Linked DNA regions of Saccharomyces cerevisiae S288C. The gene in region 2 interacts genetically with the main gene of each other region. Each region holds a gene or a part of one and is shown on either strand. Other genes may lie near its edges.

Evidence for each region.
Region 1: mutations in NTF2 (region 2) and ULS1 together harm fitness more than expected from each alone (negative genetic interaction), as found in Saccharomyces cerevisiae (one large-scale study listed by BioGRID).
Region 3: mutations in NTF2 (region 2) and NRT1 together harm fitness less than expected from each alone (positive genetic interaction), as found in Saccharomyces cerevisiae (one large-scale study listed by BioGRID).
Region 4: mutations in NTF2 (region 2) and YLH47 together harm fitness more than expected from each alone (negative genetic interaction), as found in Saccharomyces cerevisiae (one large-scale study listed by BioGRID).

The regions. Positions count from the first base shown.
Region 1 is NC_001147.6:689,451-698,836, reverse strand, and holds ULS1 (translocase ULS1), read right to left. Parts: upstream 6,363-9,386; coding exon 1,503-6,362; downstream 1-1,502. Other genes in the region: THI72 (thiamine transporter), read left to right, coding at 1-69; SPR1 (glucan 1,3-beta-glucosidase), read right to left, coding at 6,805-8,142; IES4 (Ies4p), read right to left, coding at 8,863-9,213. UniProt on the Saccharomyces cerevisiae protein: ATP-dependent helicase involved mating type switching and in silencing interference through its interaction with the silencing regulator SIR4. Cooperates with UBC4 and UBC5 to mediate ubiquitination of SUMO conjugates.
Region 2 is NC_001137.3:170,476-175,032, reverse strand, and holds NTF2 (Ran GTPase-binding protein NTF2), read right to left. Parts: upstream 2,919-4,557; coding exon 2,541-2,918; downstream 1-2,540. Other genes in the region: YER010C (bifunctional 4-hydroxy-4-methyl-2-oxoglutarate aldolase/oxaloacetate decarboxylase), read left to right, coding at 1,695-2,399; GTP-Rho binding exocyst subunit SEC3, read left to right, coding at 3,215-4,557. UniProt on the Saccharomyces cerevisiae protein: Facilitates protein transport into the nucleus. Interacts with various nucleoporins and with Ran-GDP. Could be part of a multicomponent system of cytosolic factors that assemble at the pore complex during nuclear import.
Region 3 is NC_001147.6:457,944-463,819, forward strand, and holds NRT1 (nicotinamide riboside transporter), read right to left. Parts: upstream 3,334-5,876; coding exon 1,537-3,333; downstream 1-1,536. Other genes in the region: YOR072W (uncharacterized protein), read left to right, coding at 3,559-3,873. UniProt on the Saccharomyces cerevisiae protein: High-affinity pH-dependent nicotinamide riboside transporter which also transports thiamine with low affinity. Involved in 5-fluorocytosine sensitivity.
Region 4 is NC_001148.4:785,076-790,539, reverse strand, and holds YLH47 (Ylh47p), read right to left. Parts: upstream 2,580-5,464; coding exon 1,215-2,579; downstream 1-1,214. Other genes in the region: YPR127W (pyridoxine 4-dehydrogenase), read right to left, coding at 1-457; high-affinity Cu transporter CTR1, read right to left, coding at 3,112-4,332; AXL1 (Axl1p), read right to left, coding at 4,869-5,464. UniProt on the Saccharomyces cerevisiae protein: Involved in mitochondrial potassium homeostasis through the mitochondrial K(+)/H(+) exchange regulation.

The DNA.
Region 1 (9,386 bases), on a different chromosome or scaffold from region 2:
TTTGAAATTGTTCATCAGAAAGATAATGAAAAGGAATCCTCTACTTCCAGTGAAAAACAAATTGCCTAATGAGCAAAAAACCTAATAAAATGATCATACTTAGTGTTCATTCAAGATCTTTCGCTAGTATTAAAATTCGAGATAATTAAACACACTCTTTAGTCCCAGGAAACACTACTATTAAGCTTGTTGGTCGTACAGGATATAGAGGTCATTTCGATTATTTCATTCTTCCACTAATGTTTGATTGACGATTCAGATCACTGTTTTTGTTTGGCTGATAATTGTAACAAGAAAAAAAAACTACCGCTTCTTTTCAGTATTTCTGTTGAGGATGATATTTTCATTGATTCTCTTATCAGCTTCAGTGCCGATATCCTATCAGGCTCTAGTAGGGCTGAAAATTAGGTGGAGGCGATTTTGTTACTCTTTTGTTCAAGTCTGAGCTTATGACGTCCTGCGACATACTTTTCTTATTACGTACTTATGATAAGTACCGGTTGCCTATGAGAGGAAATCGAAAGTCATTAAATCAAAAAAAAAAAAATAACTTGCATTGCATTGTGCGATTAAAGAGCAAAACTTATTTGATAAGAAACCTTTTCTAGAGCATCTGCGCCACTTATTTGAGAGGTCAAGTCTTGTTAGTGAGAAAGCGCGTGAAGATAGAAATTATAAATTACCAATTTATTTTCAGTATAGCCTTAGAAAACACAAAGGCACATGGTTGTATAGATCTATATAATGCACTGACTGTACCTTGTTGTAAGGAAGTTAATAATAAGCAACCTGTTCGGGCTGAAAATCCAAAAGAAAAGTTGACGGTCTATTAGTGGAACAATGAATTTGAACTTTACATATAAGGGAATGTGTCTTTACTTTGATCTTACAGCGAAAATTACTGAAATCACAGTTTACGTATAAAGCACCCCCAATCCACGTGTGTTTTATACGCTTCTCTTTTATAGGAATATAAGATCAGCTTTGATTATTAATTAATACTGTCATTTAATTGCCAGTTATCATCAAACGGGATATTTTCATCGGTTCATTAATGTATGGTAGCTGTTGCGAGCGTATAATTATACTGGCGTTTGAAGATTACATATATGATGAGAAACAAAAATCAAATTTAGTAACAACTGTTAACGATGCAATAATGAGTTAAAGCAATTAACAGGAGGGGGAAGCAATTATGTTATTCGTGGCATTGTTGATAATCTTTTGTGGATTTCCAAATCCAGGAGACGAGCTTCTTATATTGTATGTTACTAATGGTATTTTCTTTTTCAAAAAGTAATTCAAACGATCATATCAAATTTCGCATATTTCTTATACTTAAAGTAGGGCCGATTTACGGCTTATTTTCTGTTCCATTAAATGCCAAGCTCGTAAGTGCCAACGAGTGAAGTTACTTAAGCCTACAAACTAGAAGCTTAGCCACCAATTATCAACATATACATATGTGTATCGCAATAATGCTTCAAAATTCACCAAGTTCTTCAAAGAGCGTTTAAACCAAATAAAAATCCTAACTCCCGACGCCCTAAACTATTCACTTCCTTTATCTTGCCTGGGTCCATGGCAGAATCGACCATTTCCTTCTTTCTCTTCTGTAATTCAGAAATACGATCCTCAACAGAGTCCTTTATAAACAATTTATGCACCTGGACTTTTTTTGTTTGACTAATTCTATAGCAACGGTCTTGAGCTTGTTCTTCGACGTAAGGATTCCAAAATGGATCAACTATAACTACATGGTTCGCACATGTCAATGTTAGTCCTGAGTTACCGGCTTTCATGGAAATCAGAAGTATCCTTTTCTCAGGGTCACGATAAAATTCGTTGATAACATCTGATCTTCTCTGAGCGTTCATTGATCCAATATATTTCAAGTAGGGAAAATTCAGTTTATTTTTGAGAAAATGTTCGAGAATCTCAAAAAATGTTGTAAACTGGGAAAAAATAATAATTTTTTCGGTTGCTGATTCATCAAAAACTCTTTGAATAACCTGTATACATTGCTCTATCTTCGTAGATGGTTCTAAACTCTCAAAATTTGGCACATATACATTTTTTTGCTGTATTTTTTGTTTCTCCATTTCACTTAAATACTCTGCATGCAAATCTTCCTCAGTAAATCCCTGGTTTATTACCTGGTCGTATAACTTGTGCGAAACAATATCTTTCTCGTTTGTCAAACGTTGACAATCTTTGCATGGGATAGCAAATGCCCCACCTTTGGTTTTCTTGGCCTGAGGTAGCATGGATGACTCTTCGATGAAGGGCTCGATACAAGTGTCGCAAATCAAATGACCACAACCTGTCAGAACGGACATCGCTTCTGGTTCTAATTGTTCCATGCACCAGAAACATGTCATAGAATTCATTGAAGTAATAACCTGAGCCTGCGCTTCTCCGCTCATGTGAGTGATTTTATAGTAGAGCCTGAGCCAGTCATCTTCAAAGCTTTTGCCGTTAGCTACCTTTGTACCTTCCGCTTTTTTTTCTCCCATCACAACTAATTCTGAATGACAACAAGCCTGCCTTAAGCGAAGTAGTAATGTGAGAACGCTAGAGTAGCTCCCCCTCGTAGAATTGTTCAACAATTTCTTAGCGAGTGCTTGATTTTTTGATTCCAAAGCTGTGTAAAATTTTAATTCCTCTCCCTTCAGGCGTGATTCATCTACTTCCACAATTTTAGGAGGGAGCTCCAGTAAAGGTTTGCCGTCGATCTTATCAGCCTTAGACCGACGAAGCATAATGGCATTTAGAAGGACTCTAACCTTTCTTAATGCGTTTTTTCTATCCTCGTTATCATATTGATATTGCTTATTTCTCTGAAAAAACCTTCCAATGTCTAATTTAAACCGTTGCTCCTTGTGGTAGGGTGGAATTCTTAGAAATCTTATCAAGGAATAAAGCTCATCCATACTATTTTGAATCGGCGTACCAGACAAGACCCACCTATACATTCCATTTATAGTACAGCACGCTTTAGAAGCCCTTGTATTTTTGTTCTTGATGTTTTGGCCTTCGTCCAGTAAAATTCTGTAAAACGTTGAATCATTGCAGAAAAATGGAGAGTAGTATTCATTTGAGGTTTTCAACCTATTAAGAGCTTGTATATGAGGCACAGCTGGTAGCTGATTTTGTTCACCATCCAGTTTTTTCGGCCAATGTTTCTTAAATTCGTTTGCTAGAGTTTGATAAGATACCAAAACAGCATCATATCTTGCCAAATCCCTCCAGTGCTTAACTTTTCCGTTACCTGATCCTCCAAAAATAAATGTAGTAAATTTTGCGCGTTTTTTTACTTTCGTTTCTAATTCACCTTTCCAAACTCTCAAGACTGAGACTGGTGCGACGATCAAATTGGTTTTACATTTGGATTCCTCTGAGCGATTTGCTAACATCAATGCAATAGCTTGAATCGTTTTACCCAGGCCCATATCGTCAGCAAGCAGACCCCCTTTTTTTGCGGAGTTTTCAACTTGTAACAACCAATGCAGACCCAGCCTCTGGTGTTTTAATAAGTTTACGGTCATATCCTCGGGAGTAAGTGCTTCGCCGTCTATAATGGATTCAGATTGTTTGACATTCTCTAAAAGAGCCCTAATCTGTTCTTGATCTTCTGCTGCATGCATATTAGAGATGTGAAATTCATCTTGCATCGATAGATCATTGGCTGTAGAACTAGTATCTTCGGTATTTTCCACGATGTTCCAGTTTGAAGGAGGTCGTTGATCTGCGTTTACCGGAAATAAATAGCTTTGCTGCAGTAATTCTTCACTTGTTATTGGAATCTTATATCTTCTCAAATTTTCATATAGTCTGTCCATCTTAAGTCCTTGTTGTCTTAGCCCAACAACAGCTTTTCCGACGCCTTCCCTTTTTAAAGGAGTAGGTGGAAATCCGGTGTCAATATCTTTACGAAATTCTTCAATTATATTCAAAAATCGAGTAATCTTTCGTTTAGCATCCTCTGATCTAGTAGACTTTGATATGAGATCGCGTGCAACTTCGATGCTTTTAAAATATTGGGCTCTTCTGTCAGGATTGACAATGGCTGGATTAGAAAACTTGATGCCGTAATCTTGTAATGTTTCAAAAACAATGGGCATCTTTACACCGTTGGTGAACAATATTTGGGCCGATTCATGTGCAACGTGTCTTCTGTTTATATCTATTAAGGATCTTCCGTCTTCAAAAAAGTTTTTATAAGAGACCAAGTTGTCCAAATGTCTATAAAGAATTCTCTTCGTCATTTCTGTCCTGGATGTGTTCTTGGCTAATAAATCTTTTGCAGTATCAATGGACTTAATAAATAAATCTCTTTTGGCGAGAGGTTGCCGTACTATTGGCAATACACTATTGATATCAGTTGTGCGTTGGTCCCCCAGTTTCAAGTCATTCAGTTTCTGCTGGATCTCCCCTGTTAACTGCTTGTAGGTACTGAAGCTTAGGGTTCCTTCTTTTAACATTTGGTCTAGCTTTTCTTTCTCAGCCAGGCATTCGTTTCTTTTATTTACGGTCGCAGAAGCTTTACTATCCCTGGCTGACCGCTCAAGGGCAGCCAAAGATTTCTGCAGGTTTATATTTTTCGAATGCACAAAGGACTTCCATTGTTCGTTATAATTATACATTTTCAAATTGATTGAATCTAGCTTCGATTTTGTCAACTGTCTTTTTTCCTTCAGTTTGTTTAATTGGTTCTCAGCTTCATCAACTAATATCTGCTGAGTTGAGCTGATAGTTCTTCCCCCTCTAGCCATCGATGTCAACAATAACTGCCAATGTTTTTCAGCATCAGAGACCTCCTTTTCTCTTCTACTTAGTTTCCTTCTTAAAATTTCAGAGTTTGTCTTGCAGCAACTGAGAGCATTACGTAGTTCAGACTCTCTAGAATTCAAATCCTTCAATAATTTTTGATGATTTTTTTTTAGAGTATCAAGTGAACTGTTACATTCGTGTTGAGAGGATTGAGTAGCTTGTTCTGTCATGATAGTTCCTTGAAGAACTGACGAACTCGAGGATTGTGCGTCTGTTTCTGATGTAGGAATTGAATTGCTGCCACTTGCTTCTTTTATTACTGAGTTATTCAAGTCAATATTGGGTAGGTCAAGTAAAGATATGACTTCTGGTACACTGCTCCTAAGCGCATCAGCTGTATTTGGTTCAGAAACTTTCAAAGGACTTTCTATATCATTGATACCGGCACCAGATTCGTCCTCATCTGAAAGAATAATAATCGAGCTATTTTTCTGTTCGGAATCATGTGAATTATGTGTTGTGTGGTCCATATTTTTTGAGGGCAATATCGGTCTTTTAAGTATCTTGTTATCTGCAAAATCTCCGCTATGCTTCCTTTTAATCTTACGACCAAAATCGCTAATATCGACAGGTTGTTCACTAAAGTGCTTGAATAGTTCACTTTGTTCTTGCTCAAGTAAGGCAACATTATTTTGAAGTCCTGGAAGACGAACGGTCGTCTTCCCCTCTACTTTGGCCGTCTCGTTTTTAAGGGAACTCTCAACAGAGCTTAGATTGGACGGTAATGCTGGCGTTCGCTTTTCATTTACGATGTTAGGTATAGTGTTTTTGGAGTTATTTTGAGTTTCAGAATCCTGGAAAGCACTAGATTCAATAGGTAAATCACGATAACTTGTTGTTGTGACTCCTTTTATTTGGTCTTTGTTTTCGCTCTTCAAACTGTTATCTTTTGTTTCTGGGTCGCTGAACTGTTGCTGTGACGGTTTGTTATTCAAGTTTAACTTCTCCTCTTGAAAATCCAAATTGCTGTCCTGGCAAGTATTAGGCTCGAAATCATCTTCAACGCCATCGTAGTCTTTGGAGACGTATGAGGAAGAAATGCCACAGATATTTTCCTTCACTTGCTCATCCTGATTTATTCTTTTACCTTCCTCTTTTTGTTTAAAACTATCGGATAACGGCACATCATCGTTTTCATAAAAAAGTTTTATCATCTCTGCGCTTGGGCTGCTCTCTTGTGTTTTCTTCTCATCGTTGGAAGATCCCATCGTTTCTTCCTTCAAGACTTGCTGCTGTTTTACTTCGTTGGAAGATTTTTCATTGTTGAAGGTACTGTCTGTGATTGTCTTGCTCTTTGAAAGAATAGTATCGAAGGTTTCATTATTTGATATGTTCGTCTTGAAAACATGGAATGCTTGACGTGCTGCATCGTCATTAGATTGGGCGACTTCCAAGCCTGCCATTCTTAATTTCCCATTTTCTTTCCTAATGTCTATCTTATCCACACTTGTTGAAGACGAAAAAGAATGGAATATGTCTTCATTATCTGAATCGGCTAGTGTAAGGTCGATGGTGGGTACTGCTGCCATTTGACAGATGTTTAACCTAAAGATATAGTCCAGCGTCTCCTTTCAAGCACTCAAAAGATAGATGTAAAAATCGGTATAGACGCCCTGTCCTGTTCTTTCATAAAACTGCGGAGAGGTTTGTATTTATTTATTGTTTTTCTTCCTCTCATATTCGTTACATAGTCTAAGTAAACTGTCCGGTAATATCGAGAGTGACCCGTGTCTCGTGCTTCTCTTCCGCCTCACGTAATATCAACAGGTAATCATCATGAGCTCCCCATTCATAGTTCAGATAAAAAGTGAAGTAGCGGTTGATGGAAGCACTTTTATTTGCATAATTATAAGATATAAAGTATTTTTTATTTGTATACCTCATCATGTTATATAAAGAGTTTTAGATGGCAATTTTTTCTCCAATAATAATCATCACATTCCCAAGACCTTAAATATATGCCACAAAATTTCAATGACATTGGTTAGGATATTTCCTATCGTTGATAGGTTGCGGAAAAATGTTGAGTTGAATCAATTTTTCAACATCCCATTCGATACTATTCTCTGTCTTGTAACACCACATTATCCATCCACCAGTCATTTCAAAAGCATCTAATTGAGCCTCGATAAACTTTCTAGTGTTCTGTTTTCTCTCTTCGGGCCACAAGGCAATATTCTCGTTGTTTGCACACGTATTTATGTAATGAGATTTTTCATTGTCTTTGGTCCAACTTCCATCATATCTGGCACCTAGACCAACCCCATTTAACCACTTTGTACAATCTGTTAAGGCCGCTGAAAATTCGCCTGCTACGGACCAATGCTTCTCGCTTACGGCATCTTTCCCCCATTGGCAGGCGATTTTGATACGTTCATTCATTTTTCTTGTTAATTCCACCTGCGAGAACACCTGATAATGATGATGGTCAATTATGACGCCATATTCGTTCTTTTCATCATTCAAAAACCCATCCCAATAATGGTAAGGTTGAAAAGCATCATGTATTACAATGATCTGGTTGCTATTAATTTTATTTCTCAAATAGTCATAAGCCGGCTTCAAAAGCAAATTTTTCAATCTTTCCATGTCAATAACTGGACCTAACGGTTCATTGAGCAATTCGATTCCAATAACGGTGTCCAGGTATACGTCTGTTGAGTATTTGCTTAAAATATACGTTAAAGCTTTCATGGTGGCGCTTAAATTTTCATCTTCCAGAAACTTATATGAATCCCTCAACCCTGAGTTATCAAATCCGTTTTGTGAACCAGCGGCTCCATGAAGATCAATCCATACTTTCAAACCATATTTCCTAGCCCAATCGATAGCCCGGTCTAGAAAATATTCCTGCTCGGCGGTAACATAGGGATCATGACTCAACGTTGTAAAGGCCCAATACCCAATAGGAATTCTAACCAAATTGAAGCCTTGAGAAGCAATTTTCGCGAAGTCTTCCTCTTTATAGAACGTCGACCAATGACTATAAAGGCGTTCCTTTGCCTTTTCATAGCCTAATTTTTCACAAAAATGGTATTCATCAACAGGAATACCGTCATCGTTGTACGGATTAGTACGGAAAGTCTCGAATAAAGAAGGTGTAATATACGGCTCCAATACTAGCCACCCACCCAAATTGACTCCATGAATTTTTTCATTGATGGCTTGATTGTTGATGGCAGAGTATATACTATCCTTTTCTTTATAAATAAACTGTATAGAGTCCCTATTTTTTGTGGAAACAGGATTACAGTTTACTAATTTGGTAAAAAGTAGTGTTAGTGTAGTCAGCCCTCTGAACGAAACCATTTACTTCTAAAGTTTATAAAGATTTTATGCGGAGCACCTCAGTCTTTCTTTCGAATCTTTGGATGGTCTGTTCGCAATTGAACAATTAAAAGAGAAGGGTAAAAAAAATAATGAATGTGAGGTTGTTCTACGCATGGAAGTTGCTACAAAAGGGGTGGCAACTGATGGAAAGACTTTTTACACAAAGATTGACAGCATTACTGACAAATTTCTAATGAACCAGACGCGCCGCTTCTTTTAGTGTCGTTTGGTAACCGCTTTTTCTTAAGCTGGCAGAGACCGCCAAAAATAAGAGAGTCGCTTGTAGTGGGACAAATAATGAACAGAGAGGCTTTTTGATACCAGTATCGTTGAGTTGGGAATGAAATGAAATATAACGATGCAATCGTCGCCATTCCTGTCAGAATATAATCGACGGTCATGTTATATAATTGTTTTATAAACGCCCACTTCTTGGCTGTATCTTTTATAATGTCCTTTTTTCCTGAAGAGGGTTTCCATCTAATTTTCTTTTACAGTCTGTAGCCTTACTTCTGGCCCTTTAACTAAATACATTTGATTTATATTGCATATTTACTCATACAATTGTATATTTGTTGTTCTTTTTTGGTCGGCTACCAGATTTAGTACTTAATGTAACCAATTTGTGAATTTCATAAATGACGTGCCAAACTAGAAAGTGTGGGGCCCTGAGAACAACTTTAAGCTGTTGACATTACCTTATGAGTCCAGTCCATCCTCTCCTTCTTTTTCAAGTTGTTTTACTTCAGGATCCTCATCTGCTGGTTCTTTTTTCCTTGTAGCTTTGTCATCTGATCCTTTAACGTCAGATGCAGTAAACTCGCTTCCCCTTTGACGTTCTTCTCTTACGTCTCTTCTTATCCAGCCGGTGAAATTTACCTTATAACCACTGAAGCTCTTGATCTCTATGGCTTTATTCTTGTAATCCCACGGAAGTACAGGTTTGCTATTATCTCTCGAATTGGCAGAGGGAGGGCTTGTATCCTCTATTTTAGGGTTATTGGCTAGTTGTTCTTGCGATTCTGATAAAACACTACTTTCTTGGGACATACCACAATTACTCGAGAAATTGGATTTATCTTCCGGCCAATATAAGTAAAGAATGTGTTGGCATTATAGTACATTTTGTTGATATCTTTAAAATTACTTGGATTATGAGAATGATTACCCGTCAACTGCTTGGTAAAGTTTTAACGTTCAAGAAAAGCTCTAGACGGCGTAAC
Region 2 (4,557 bases):
TAGAAGCAAACGACGTAATGCCGTGGCTGACTGGCATACACTGGAAATCTGTACCAACCGTATAGGTGAAAGAGACCCTTTATGGAACGAGAAAGTGCATTCTTCCCGCTATTGTATTGTTGGGTTCCTTAAACGATGCTGTAAAAACCTAAAACATGGTGCTGAAAATAAACGCGCGAAGAAAGATGGATCTAGCCAGGCACGGAAACGGAAACACGTACTAAAAAGGGACAGGCACTAAAACGGGTCTGGGGTCCTCCCTATTCTGCTTCGAAGCGCGCTCGGAAAACTTCCTTTTATAGCCGTCGTATAGAGAAAATTGAACCTTATTAGATCTGGCGATGGATTCTGTCATTCGTTGGGAACAATGCAGATTATCCAAGTTAGATGGAAACGGTTCACTTTTGCGCTGCAGGCTGTCGGCTGGGCCTTACTATTTATGGAAATCATTTATCGTTCTGTTTACACCCTTTAAGAAGATGGAGTAAAGTGTTGAGCGTGTTAGCTGATAATGACCGTTTCATAGCATTCAAAAACCGTTGCTGTGTAAAAAAAGTCTATTTCCATTGTGGATTGATAATTTTAAGAGACAAGCAGTTCCCATTTTTGTTCTTGCAGCAGATATTTTTAGTCTTCTCTCGAATAACAATAGAGAAAAGGCGGGTATGCTCAGATAGCACATAAATTATAAACAATGCAAGGCCATAAACTTGTAGATTGTCTTTTGTATCTTTTGACGTGATCAAAAGTAATAATAGCAGTGCTTATTTGAATTAAGAGTAAAACATAGTAATACTGGAAATAAGCCGGGATATTTGTAGATATGTATATGCGCAAGAAGGTGCCTATAGAACTGGCAAATGTAGGGAATGAGAAAATCTCTTGACACTTTTTGTACGCAATTTACTTGGCACATGAAGGCACAATTAAAAGCTACTCGCCCTTGTAAATTTGACTAAAAGATTTTCGTAGTCTATGTCTCCAGTTTGAATTGAACAACACCACGCAGTCTAGTAATGTTGAAGGCACCCTTTATGTGCAAATAAAGAAAACTTAGCCGCATAAGGTATCATTGCTGTAACTCCATGACTGTTATCCCCCGAAGAACTTTGTAATAACAATTGTAAGTTTTTAGGAAAGGTTCACTGTCGAGAATGACACTTTGGGTTAAGCATTTTAACAAATATTTTCGCTAGACACTGTGTGATGAAGCTATTTCTGAATAATTTTATATTTTGCCTTGAAATTTAATCATGAAATTATATCTGTAAAGGAAAATTAGGGAATGAAATACAAACAATACGAACATAATCCGTAAAAGTATAAATAATCCAAATACAAACTATACATGTGTATACAAGCTCATTTATAGAAATAAAAAGCAGTCGATAAGGAGCAGATAATCTGAGATCTTGCCCACCGCGTTTGGAGAATACCATCAGCTTACCCAAATAATCAGGAAAACTGCAAGCCCAGCTATTTTGCCAATAATAATTTCCGCCACTTAGGTCTGTATGTGAGTCAAACGTTGCTCATTCATTAATCTCTATGATGTATTACAGCTGGAAGTGATAAGAACGATAAAAAAAAGTGATCACCTTACTTAGCGCGAAAAAACTTGAACTGTATGGCTTTCCATAAACTAAACCAACTTTTAAAAAAATTAACAGTATAAGTAGAAACCGCCGTCCGCAATGTCAGATCTTCAAAAGTTACAGAGGTTCTCAACCTGTGATATTTCGGACGGATTGTTGAATGTTTATAACATTCCAACGGGTGGTTATTTCCCTAATCTAACAGCAATTTCTCCACCGCAAAATAGCTCCATAGTAGGCACTGCATACACAGTACTGTTTGCACCCATTGATGATCCAAGACCTGCCGTGAACTATATAGACTCTGTCCCTCCCAACTCAATACTCGTCCTCGCACTGGAGCCCCATTTGCAAAGTCAGTTCCACCCATTTATTAAAATTACGCAAGCGATGTACGGGGGGCTGATGAGTACCAGAGCACAATATTTGAAATCGAATGGGACAGTAGTCTTTGGACGCATAAGAGATGTGGATGAACACCGGACTTTAAACCATCCCGTTTTTGCTTACGGTGTTGGATCTTGCGCTCCAAAGGCTGTCGTTAAAGCCGTAGGCACTAACGTACAGTTGAAAATCTTAACGAGTGATGGCGTAACCCAAACAATATGTCCTGGTGATTATATTGCAGGTGACAATAATGGAATAGTACGCATTCCTGTTCAAGAGACTGACATTTCAAAATTAGTTACCTATATCGAAAAGTCAATTGAAGTGGATTTACTTGTCTCTGAAGATATTAAGAATGGTATTCCCGCCAAACAAGCTCAAAATGATCGAAGATCAGTATTAAAGAAATACATTTAAAAACGCTATCTTCATACATATATATATATATATATCTTCTTTATCGCTATCGCCTTATACATCGTTAGCTAAGCATCTTCAATTATGCTAAACAATATTCGAAAATGAAAATACATGTTTCTGTGGTGACTTAAAAAATCCTTAAGCAGAGTAATTCAAACGGAAGATATCGTTAAACACGTAGTAAGAGTTTCCATCAGGAATCAAATGGAACACTTGAGAGAAACGCTGTGGATTTTGTTCTTCGTCAATCAACAGATCACCAGTGATCATGACTAAGACATCGCCATTTGGGGAAGCAGGTTGCGCATCCAAAGTAGTGATACGATGTTGGACCTTTTGAAATGGCAAAGATACTAATTTCTCAACAATGTCCTTTGCACCTTGCAATTGACTAGTCTCGAATGTTAGCATAGATTCATTTCTGTACAAGTTACCCAATTGGCTTCTATCGGTATCAAATTGATTATAGTAAAACTGGGTGAAGTTTTGGGCCAAAGTGTTAAAGTCGAGAGACATTATAAAGATAATAGTATTAAAACCTGGGTTCCTTAGGGGGTATTGTACACTAAAAACTAAAAAGTACTTACTTATCAGCCTAAGTCTCACCTTGCCAAGTCAGAAAATTTTTCGTTGCTTTTTGAGAACCACGCTTGTGGGACTATGTCACCCGGTATTAATGGGCAAATACTAACTTGGTGAACACTTATAGCAATAACAGTATCATAGCTTATGAAGAAAAAGCGGTCATAAAGACTGAGTCGGTGCCAGATATCTCCAGCTAGGTAACAAGGCTACGCAATTTATTCTATATTATGAGGTCCTCGAAGTCTCCTTTTAAAAGGAAGTCTCACAGTCGTGAGACATCACACGATGAAAACACATCGTTTTTCCACAAGAGAACAATATCCGGTAGCAGTGCTCACCATTCTAGAAACGTCAGTCAAGGTGCAGTACCCTCTTCCGCACCACCTGTTTCTGGTGGAAATTATTCGCATAAGAGAAACGTGTCGAGAGCTTCAAATTCCTCTCAAACTTCGAATTTTTTAGCCGAACAATATGAAAGGGATAGGAAAGCCATAATTAATTGCTGCTTTTCCAGACCCGACCATAAGACAGGTGAACCGCCGAATAATTATATTACACATGTCCGGATTATAGAAGATTCAAAATTCCCTAGTTCAAGACCTCCTCCAGATTCAAAATTGGAGAACAAAAAGAAAAGACTCCTTATTTTGAGTGCCAAGCCCAACAATGCCAAGCTAATACAAATTCATAAAGCAAGAGAAAACTCAGACGGCTCTTTTCAAATTGGTAGAACTTGGCAGTTGACCGAACTAGTAAGAGTAGAGAAGGACCTGGAGATATCTGAAGGCTTCATTCTTACCATGAGTAAAAAATACTACTGGGAAACGAATTCTGCGAAGGAAAGAACTGTTTTCATTAAATCTCTAATTACTCTATACATTCAAACATTCGAAGGTCATGTCCCTGAATTGGTCAATTGGGATTTATCCCTTTTTTATCTTGACGAGAGGAGTTATCAAAGAGCAGTCATCACAAATCGCCCCGGTTCCGTATCTCCAATAAAGTCACCTACAAGTAATTTCACGACAAACACTACCCAATCGGTGGGCTCTGTCCCCTTTTCAGCACCTACTGAGAGGACAAGAAGGTCTGAAACAGAAAGCGTTAATCCAGTGTCAACGCCTGCAAGCGTGGAATATCATGCAGGAATGAAATCTCTAAATAAGGCCCCCTATTCTTCCAATTCGACATTGAATGAAGTGAATAAAAGATACGAGTTAGAGCAACAACAGCAACAAGAAGAGGCTGAACTGAGACGATTAGAAGAGCAAAAAAGACTTCAGTTACAAAAGGAAAATGAGATGAAAAGATTAGAAGAGGAAAGAAGAATAAAGCAGGAGGAGAGGAAAAGGCAAATGGAATTGGAACACCAACGACAACTCGAAGAAGAGGAACGAAAACGTCAAATGGAACTGGAGGCTAAAAAGCAAATGGAGTTGAAACGTCAACGGCAATTCGAAGAAGAGCAACGCCTAAAAAAAGAGAGAGAACTATTGGAAATACAGAGAAAACAAAGAGAACAAGAAACAGCTGAGAGATTAAAAAAAGAAGAGCAAGAAGCGCTTGCTAA
Region 3 (5,876 bases), on a different chromosome or scaffold from region 2:
AAGCCAAACACTATAGCAATCTGGCTATATGATATGCAGAAAATAGTGATTACTGTGCTCTTTGCTGCATCATGCATCATATGTTTGGCATTCTGTCCTGTCAGATGAATGGGCGAAACAATTCGGGGAGCTTTGTTGCGACTTGGTACCCGGCAAGCCGCGACCTATATTTTGCATTAAACGAGTTCATCGTGGATTTATCGCCATGAGCCTTAGCTTATCAAGCCTCTCACAGACAATTAAGCAATGAAAAAGGTATACCATCGGCGCAGAATGGTTAACTAGTGGGTTCATACTGCTGTGTTATAGATTGTTACCTAAGTGATCACCAAAAAAAAGTGCAAAAAGGAAAAAAAAATAAGAGACAGGTAACTTCCACAAGCTTATTCTTCCAAAAATCAATCTTATCTTCATGCCAGCAATAGTTGCGTGCTGAGCTCAACAGTGCCCAACCCTTGTGCACCGTAGAATTGTAGAATACAAATACATAAATAAGTGTGTTCCCGAAGGACTAAGGAATGACGGCAGAGGAGTCTTGTGACCGCCCTGCTGCAAAACTTGGCAAGGACAGAAATTAAGTAATAGATACGCACAACCTTGGAGCACCAAGAAATGGCTGCAAAAGTAAATCTATAGTATTTCAAGCTGAGATATGATAATATGTTCAAAGGGCTAAAGTCTCATGAAACAGCGTCACTACAAGTCACATAAAGTTCGTACAGCAAGTCTATGCATGCTTTCCTCAAAAGAACTACCCAAATATAAACACATATACAAAAATTCAGATTTTACATTTCAGGTTTCCATAATATGTTAAAAGCTAGATCTTACATAGTGTCGGGAACAGGTCATTCTAAAAAAAGTAAAATAAAATAAAAGGGTTTCAAAGATCCATACTTCTCTACATTCTCTGACTTTTTAAAACTGTGTACTGGCGACCAATCGACAAATCTGCAACCCCAGCTTCATAAGCTTTCTCTCCCACCAGCAAAGCCTGGACCTCCCTGGTTCTAATAATGAGCGACTGAAGTTTTCCAAAAGAAACCTTCACTAAACATGTTATGCTCCTCAATCACGCGATGAAATAAAGGCCTATTTTTTGATCCAACGCCTTTGAAAATTTCCTTATGGCTGGGTGGGGTACCTACCATGAACATGTTAAAGGTAAGTGGTGGCATATTATGGAGTTACGCCCGTATACCAGAGTAATAATGTTGCCGCCGGATAGGCATGGCGCCCCCACCGGATTCTCTTGCTATATGGATGGCATAATTAGCTTATGAAAGGATTGGTAAGAATATGTCTTCTAGCAAGAAAATACTAAGAACCAATAGTTCCTTTTTTTATAAAATTATTGAGCCATACACAATAATGCCGATATTTGTCACCATAGACATACTTGACAGTAAAGTATTTGCAGCTGAGGATCGATCTGGTAGTATTCCCAAATTGTAAGATCTGTACAGATTTTCAAATGAAGCGTTGAAGTTTCCTCTTTGTATATTTGAGATCTTCATTTTATCGGATTCTTTGTCATCAGACAACTTGTTGAGTGGTACTAAAGGAGTGCTTTTCATCATCCTTTTGGTGAACGATTTCAAATACGTTAGTGTTTTCTGAGCTAGTTTTGATCAATTCAGGTGATTCGTTATCAGAACTCTCAGGTTTGTATTCGTGTCCAGTTGTGTAGCATTCGCCTAACGTGTAAGCACGGATTTCTTCCTCAGAAATTTCACTGTATGGAATCATGCCCTTCTTTCTCGCTTCTTCGTCGGTAAATGCACCATAGTAATCTTTGTCATCATGTCTAACAGTAATTTTGAATGGGAAGAAGACACATAGCCCCCAGTAAACGAAAAAAGAAATCAAAAAGGAGAAGAAAGAATCACCATAAAAGAATTTAACAATACCTGAGTCGTGGAAATAGTTATTGTTGACTTCCCAAGCGATACCAGGTAGACCGGGAGCCATACCACACACCCAGGCAACGATAGCTCTCCAGTTGACACCCTTGGTAAAATAGTATTCACCCTTTAGAATAAAGGCATTAGTAATGGAATATTGCCTCTTCCTGATCAGAAAGTTATCACAGATCATGACAGCAATAATAGGAGTCATGACAACACCGAAAGAACTCATGACAGTTAAGAAAGTAGAAGAAGAGTTGTAGAAGTTCCATGGCAAACAAGCCCAGGAGATACATGCGCAAAAAAGAGCACCTCTCTTGATATCGACGTATTTGGGCAACAAACCGGCCATATCCATACCAGTGGCAAACCCACAGTTGGAGATGGTGGAGGACATTTGAGACATGGTAAAGCAAAGACCACAGAAGAAGGCACCTGCGCGAGCGCCTGCAGAATAGTTGTTTGTCAACCAATAATCGAATATATCCATGGGCATCCAAAATTGTTTACCGTATAATTTGTCGCAGGTGGAGGCACTAATGACACCGAAGATTGGGACCAAGGTTGCTGGGATTAGTAATGCACAGACGCTACCGGTCCAGATAGCCAAATTGGAGGAACCGAATCTTGAATAGTCACTTTGGTTGGTGGAACCTGGAGAAATGGAACCGAACCAGTATGAAATCATGTAAACCCAAGCCCATGCTCTTTTAGAACCAGTAACGGTAGATTTTGTGGAGGTAAACAATTCACCGACACCATGGGCATTCTTAGTCAAGTAAATCACTATACCCAGCATGGCAAAGCAAGTAGCTACACATGACCAAATTAAAAGGTAGTTCATATGGTAGGGTTTCATGAAATAGCAGAGCGCGGTGAGGACGTGGAAAATAATGAAGCCGACCAACTGCTTGGTGGTCATGGCAACACTTGGGGACAAAGTATTGGGCAGGTGCAGATAGTGGTGGGACCAGGAATCTAATATCATGTTGATAGATAGACCACCCAACCAAGCGTTGGAACCATAATTGACAATACTCATCAAAATTCTAATGATGATACCGAAGGCTGAACCGTAAATGCCAAAAACGAATCTTTGGGCCAAGGTGAAACCGATTTTCCAATCATAACCGGGGTAAGAGTTGGCCATAGTGAAAATAATGGTCAAGACATTACCGAGAAGAAACGAAACAATGGTCTCTGGGTAACTTAGGCCGACACTTAGTGCAGCAGAACCACTCATCCATGTACCTGCTGTAAAGGACACAGCGCCCCAGTACGCCAAATTAGACCAGAACCCCCATGTTTGATTTGCAGACTTGATAGGTTGCAAATCAGGGTTCCTCAGAAAATTCACGGCAGTCCTATTTTTGGCAGGAATTTCTAAATATCTCAAAAACTTAGAGACTATACTACTGAAGCTCATGATGATACAGGTGCTGAAGTCCTTTTTTTGATAGTTATAATGGGGATATCAGTACAATAAAGAATAATATAAATTCTGCAATAGGAAATAATATAGGTAATTGTTCTTGATAATTCTGGAGTTTATAAGATTTTAACTCTATTTATGAGAATAGAGAAGGAAAATTAAAACTACAATAGCGAATGCAAATTTTTTTCCCCGAAGAACAAATAGCGGTAGCAACACATGCTGACGAAAGTTGTGTTCCTCTTTTTTTGGAGCAGGTCTGACTCAACTAAAAAGCTAGCTGCATGCAACCACGCTACATTGGCACACTATATCCTGACGCCCGCGCTATACTCTGACGCCTGCGCTATATATTCTGACGTCTACTCCATAACTATTATAGTAGTGGCCACTGTTGTTCGTAACCCGGCGCGGTGTTCGCTCCGAGCACGAAAATTCTGTCGTTTATTCTCTTCCTTCTTCCAGTTCCATTACTTAAAGGAGCTGTTTTATTTCATTCGAAAGCCCGATGACAAATTCTCCTCTTTCATATAAATTAATAAGGCGGTCAGCAGGAAACTCCTATTGCCAACCGTCTTGCGAACCGACCGGTCGCTGCGCGCGATCATGCGTCCACGCGCTTCTGTGGCGACGGACGACTACAGCAAGACATTACTCTGGTCATTTACGCCTGGCGCCCAGAATGTACAAGCGCAGACGGCCAGATCATATGATGAAACGGAATAGTCCCAGCTATACCGGTGATCACAAGACGTAGTTACATAGATGCCTTGGCGCCGACACGATATTTCTTGTCGTTCTGTGCCAGTAATTCCTTTTCTTCTCGACTATGCCTCTAAGACGTCAGTCTTGGAAGCATAGTCTTCGTAAAAAAATTTTTTTTTTGAGGTTTTTGCTTCCATTTCTTTAGACTGAACTAATTTATTTTTTTTATTATTATTCAGTAATTTTTATATATTTATTTATGGACTTATTGAGGTGCTTTGGGGGTGATGACGTCCCCAGTGAGGCCCCCAGGGTAGTGGACCGCACCTAACTTCCCATTCATGATGTGATTACGCATTTTAATCTTGTCTATATGTTCTACAATGATGGCGTCAGTGCCAATGCCGTTCGCATCTATGAGGGAGATGAACTCGCTCTCGGCCGTTGGGTTTGAGGCGGTGCCGTAGTGTCCGCCTTCATTCCGGCTTCGCGGTGTCTACGAGGCATTCATTTTATGTCGCGGCAACTACTTGATATTTTCCACCAGGCACAAGGAGAAACATGGAGAAATTATATATAGAGAACTATGAGTCCTGAGGCGGCCGTTCAGTAGCTCAGATTGCCAGGGTTAAAAATTGCTCCTTGGCATCCTATGTGCTGCATACTAAAAAATTTTTAGCCACGTAGTTGTATACTTTTGTTTCCGGGGATGAGAAATTAGCCCCAGGTCCCAGACTTACAACAAGGTAGATAGGGGGGCGCACCTTGTCGTCATGAGACCCATTTCGTAGAAACTTGAATTTGTTGTTGTTACTTCTGTTTTCAAGTAGGAGTAACGAGGCCGCGTACAATTTGCCAGTGGATTTGTCGCCTGCAGCAGCGGCCGCGACGCGACGGGTTGATCCAATTTTGTGCTTGCTTCTTCAACTGAATATTTTGAGTCCACTGCATGTGGAAAACAGAGTTTTCAGTCAGTCTTGTATGTATATTATTCTCTTTAGCTCCAGAATTTCTGCTGTGCTTAGTAACTTCTTGCCGTTGAGCTGATTTTAGTAGTATAATTTTTTTGCAACTCTACTGATATCAAGAGCAGTGATATGTGCTTTAATGTTGGCATTTCTTTCAAGCCAATCACCTTCTACCATTGGTCACGGTCTCAGTATATTTGTCGTAAATATTAGTACTCTAGTCTGGTCAGAGAAGTGGCCTTTCTCCCACCAAAACGTTGTTGTTCTGTCTTTTTTCTTATTATTTACTATTTATTGGATTTATCAAAAATTCCTCAGGAACAAGATTTAATATTCTTGAAAATCCTGTATGTCATAAATCATGAGCTTGGAAATTGACACGAAATATCGGATGGCACTACTTGATGATCGTTTTTATCACTACCGCTGTACTTTAATTTCATAATTTATTTGGTGACATTTCTCTTGAAGATCTGGCAAGATGTACACGGGGAGCTCCTTCAACTGTTAAAAATATTTTTAAAAGTAAAGACGTCACCATACTTTTTCACCATAAGAACAATTACTGGTCCAGATTAAGAACGGTTGGAGTAAGAGCCAATTATCATTCATTGACTGGTATTTCCTTTTGAACTATATTATCATATAATAGGTAAGAAGATGGCAAAAAGGAAGGAGAAACAGTGGTCTGATGTGATAGGGAAGTAAATGTCAACAAATACCTAACAGTACTATCTGATCGAACAAAGAAATTCCACCAAACTGTCAGTAAATTTATTTAATGAGCAGCAAGGACATAGTGCACAACTAGCACTCTACTTCGATTGGGTTATTGAGGAAGAGGATAGTATGCCCGGAATTTTC
Region 4 (5,464 bases), on a different chromosome or scaffold from region 2:
AGATCATCTCAGCAAGCGCTTCGAACGATTCGTAGGGGTAGACCTCTCCTTTCGTGCATAGGGAAGTGTCGATTCTTGCGACTTCGAAGATGTCGATGTAGCCACCAATAGCACTAACTGAATTCTTTACGCTTTGTACAACATCATCGTGACTGCCTCTGGGGGTTAAGGTAGCATTGTCTGCACCACCTTTACAACTGATAACCACATCCTTTCTCAAATCTGGGTATTTCGCAAAGAAGTCGTGAACATACGACAAATTAATAAAATCGGGACCATAGAATTCACCAACGTTGAAAAAGGCCTTGTGCCCACGTTCTCTGGATAACTCAACCACTCTGTGCATGGCCTCGAAAGCCTGCGACTGAGGGATAGGCTCGGCTCTCCAAGTCAAACTCATTAAACCATAGCCAGTATCTAACTTGTGGATGTTGTTTTTCAAATCGGCGACAGACATTTTATTTTTACTTTTTTTGGTGTATATTTTAGTTAATATGTACCTGTTTTTCTATTCTACATAACATAGAAAATGGCAAGGAAAATAATTTTAAGAGAGAGTCCTGAGATGAAGTAAAAAATTTGGTAAATTGACAACCCCTTATATAATAAATGCCTATTCTACGGTTCAATAGACACTCTATTCTTTGAGTAATTTTGAGGGAGAGCAGCAATGATTAACTTAGTACCGTTCTACCAAGTACGCCCTTGATTACCTCATTAACGAACAAAAACGCAGATCCCTTCCTAAGGCGGCCGAGACGGCCGCTTCATCCGTCTCGGCCGGGTGTCATTCTTCTAATATATTTGGTAAAGGACTTGGGAGATGCGCAAAAGGGAGATAGTTGCGCTTTTTTTTTGTCTAACAACTAACGGGTAAAAATGTGGACAGCACGAGGAGTAGTTTAAGAAATAACTTTAAAAAAAAATATTGGCAAAGCAGATATGCAAGAAGTTACGGGTAAGGCTTCTAGTAGTCGTGCATGTGTTGATCCCCTACGTTGATACTATCTATGTGTGCAAACACCAGCTTTACAAACAAAAATTTCATATAGTAGTGTATTTTATTTATCTTATGTACAAAATCTATAGTAGAGTTCACTACATTTTCTTTTCATTGCTAAAAAAGCAGTTTCGTGCAAGTATGTATAAAAAGAATGTTGGCGAGAGTAGCGGAGAGTGTATCGTGCGGTTTAATGGGCCAGGTGAAAACTGGGTTACTTCTCTTTGATGGCAGCGGCTTCTCCGATAGGCTTGGTGTCATGCGGTTTTACGTCTGGAGCAGCCGCATCTATGTTCTTGTCTTGGTCGTCCAAGCTCAACTCATCCTTGACGCTCACAATGGCGTTCTCTTCTTGCTGCTCTTCTTCCTTCATAATTTCTTCTTGCTCCCTCAATTGTTTCAATTTTTGCTTAGCGGATGCCTCATCTTCCTTAACGACGTTTACTTTAACCTCATGGTATAGTTCATCAGGGATACCGATTAAAACGTCACATAATGCGTCGTACAATGACTCCTTTGATTGCACATTACCGTAGTTATAGGCAGTAGCCATGATTAACAGCGTGGATGGGATCTTATCCTTGAGCCTCATGTTCAGCCACAATCTTAGATTCGAATATAACACGCTAGGCTCTACGTCTACACTTCTAATACCTCTGGAGGCGCATGCTGTTTTCAATTCAGAGAGGGAGAGTTGTTCTGCATCCTCGTAATATATAGATAGATCATCTTTTTTCAATTCAAGCATTTTGTATCTGATACGGTAACGTAGCATCACATCAGTGCCGAATGGTTGCAAATTCATATACTTCGCTAATGCAATCAAGTAAGGTCTTGTCACATTATCCAATACAGTATCATCAGTGAATAATCTAGCTACTTCGATTAGCTGTTGACGAGACTCCGGCACTCCTGTAGCACGGACATGTGTGTAGAACCTGTTAAACAAAGCTTTTTGTTCCTCGGAAATATTATTAGGTTTAAAATGGGACTTGTTATTCTTTATGATTTCAGACATTAACTTCCTTGTGTTTCTTAAATTTTCTAGTTTATTCTCGCGTTTTTTACTTGATTCATAAGTAGAAGGAAGTAAATTGGGGAATAACTTTAATGCAAATGGAAGAAGAAGTTCAGCAAAGGGTATAATGAGGAAAGCAGCAAATGGAACCAACCGAACGATATCTTGAGTAGTTCTTTTCAGTTGTAAATTTTCTCTTCTCGTCAATGGGTAGCCTGCAGCACTCTTCATGAGCAATTTGGAAGAAATTTTTATCTCCAACCCCAAAAGTTTGGAACCATCCCAATAATGACGAAGGGCTTTTTGCATCTTAACCTTAAAGGGTACTTTTTCCTTCTCTTTTACTGGAGAGACCTTACTCGCACTTTCTTGGTTTCCGTCTGTCGTTTTTAACTCCTTTTTCGAGCTTTCTGGCACCGAAGAGTTCCAACGATTGAACTTCAAATTAAAAGATGGTATTACTCTCAACCTGCTTACCATAATACGGGGAGAAATTGGAGTAATTCCTGGTGCCGGATGATGGATTGCTCTCTTGATTGGCAAAGACCTGTATTTCAGCATTGTGTCTTGTTGATTTCTTTATGAAATTTTCTTTACTCGAACCTAAATATCACTGGCAAAATACTTTCAATTCGACAAGTGTTACTTTATGCAGTTATCTTGTTATTTCGAAAATTGCCACTTTGCCAATTAGATGAGACTGACACGATCTGAATAATGTCCTCTTTCAAATAAAAGTGGAAAATGTTCGCGCGGAAGCAATTCTGTCCAACGAGAAAAAAGAAACGTGGGAGACAACGGTAACTCGATGAAGGCAAGCAAGTATCATTTTTAACACTTCACTCTTATTATTGCAAGGTGGTAATATAGTTAAGGATTTTTGAATTAAAATTACTTAGACATTCAACTATATACAAGTCTGTTATTTATAGGAAGGTCGCTGTGTCTATTATTTTCTTTCCTCTTCATGAGGGCATTAGAAGTATCCATTTTGAGATTTTTTTTGAGCTTCTGAGAAATGAACGATATTCTTATTTTGATGTATAGAGATATTGGAAGAAGAAGATATAGGTGGACGAACCTTGTCTAGTTATTAGTTATGAGTGAATTTTTCGGCCGGAAGTAAGTTTTGATCCATATTCCCGGACTGTTCCTGCAACTTGGAATTCTCAAGGATGTCGCGCTCTATGTTTGCTTGATTCTTTCCTGAGTCTGTGGCACAATTACATCCCTCTTCTTGTGTAGGTGTTTTCTTTTGATTATTTTCGGAAATCGCAACTTTAGATTCGTTGTTCTTTTCCAGGCGAGTACTTTGATCACTTCCGGAAGTGGTATCGGCAACAGCAATTGGATCAGGGCTGGGTTCGGGATGTCTACCACATTGGCAGTTACCGAAGCCAGGACAGCTCTTCGCTTTCTGAATTTCTCTTTGGATGTCCCACCTCTTTAGCATGGCTATTTTGCATCTATTGAAGAAGACTTCCGATAAAGCTAACCCAGTAATTACAGCAAAAACGTATGTTAAAACAAAAGACATGGTAGCAAGCATCAACATATAAATAATCATCGTAGAGGTAAATACTAAGAACGCCCTTATAATGTCATGAAAGAGATCCATTAAAGATGGAACAAATATATCGCTTAATAAATTTGGCAGCTTAGGTAAACCTTGAATTTCAAAATTATTCTCTGTGTCATAATGTTTTCCTTCGTCTTTGGAGTTTGCTGAAGGTAAAGTGGAATATTTATTTTGCTTGTCCCATTTTTTAAACCAGTGAACTTCAAGGCACCAACTAACGAAAAGCAGTAGTTTGTAGACGAAAGCAGCCACAACAAATAATAAGAAAATACCGAAAGCCTTACCACTATTGTTTGCATGCAAATGGTGAAACAAAACTGGATAGTTTTTATATGTGGGAGTCAGATAATAGTTCATTCCCATACTCATGTCCATATCCATCCCTGAAGAGCTACTGTTATCAGACGATGACATACCTGACATGCCTGACATGCTAGAATCAGAAGTTGTCTGTGCACTGGCGGAGCTTGTTGGTGTACTGCTCATCGACATAGACATACCTGACATTGAACTGCTTCCCATCGACATACTTGCCATTGACGACATAGTCGACGCCAACGTTTTGCTCGCACTGGACATCGCTTCCATGCTCATCGATGACATGCTCGATAATATCGTTTTGCTGGCACTAGACATCGCATCCATGCTCATCGACGCCATACTCGATGCTACTGTCTTGGATGCACTAGACATGGCGTCCATATTCATGCTGCTACCCATATTCATACCTTCCATTTTGAATGTCAAATATAATACACTTTTTTTTATTTTCTATTCGATTCTTCCAACAAATGTAATTTGAGTCGCCGCCGAACTATTACTCCACCTGTTTAAGTTTGTGCTTAAAAGTTTTGTTATGCAAATAAAGCTATGGAGTAGTTGTTTATTAAGAGCACACTGCGTATCTGTTTTACTAATGTGAACTAATCATAAGAGGAATAAAACATACAAGACCCTCTCGAGATGACAATACAACATTTTTTATGTTGCATTTTGTAGCCCGAATCTTGAAAAGTGCTCTTTTCAGGATCGTGCCATTTTTGCTCATTTTACCGTCGTCTTGAGCAAATATCCCATGATTTGCATCAATACATGAGAACATAACCACAGTAACGAATAGTTGAGGTGCAGTTTCGATCCTTAAAAATTACTGAATAATTCATATGCTATTTAGGGAAGTATTTACGTATCGGTTTGTAGTATAGTAGGGAAATGTGCCAAGTTGCTTAGATAACAAAAACGTGGAAAGGCTGGAACGAGCAAAATACGGTTCAAAATGCGGCCTTGCGGAAAAAGTTTGGTTCAGGAAGCTCCTGAAGAGGAACAATCGGACTTGTGTCGTTGTTCCAAAATTTTTCTATTTCTTGTCCTTCACCATCTTGGGAAGAAAACCCTAATATAGAGCCGTATCTCTGCTTAAGATTCATTCCGATGATTTTCAATATTTCCTGCAATACAACGGTTCCGAGCTTGAAAACTTCATTTCTCCTACGAAAATAAGTAAAAAGGTTCTTTACAAGTAAAATAGGATTTCCCTTTGAATGTTCGACAATTTTCTTCAAGTCTTCATTTTTTATGGCGAATCCGTTTATTTTCAGAAAGGCCTCTAGCTGAAGGAACATTTTCCTGCTTGCAATTTCCTTCTCTGCCATTGGACTTGTGATCATTATTGATAGCTTACTTCTTTGAGCGGAATATATAGAGATTTTGGACTCGAAGAATGCTAAATATTTCTTTAGAGTTAATTTTTGCAAAAATGAGATATCAATCATTTCATGATCTTCTTGAAAATTAAGCCTTCCTTCCGCAATTTTATTTCTTACCTTCCTATGTTGTCTCATTTGTTTATTGTTGAGAGTGTAATTAT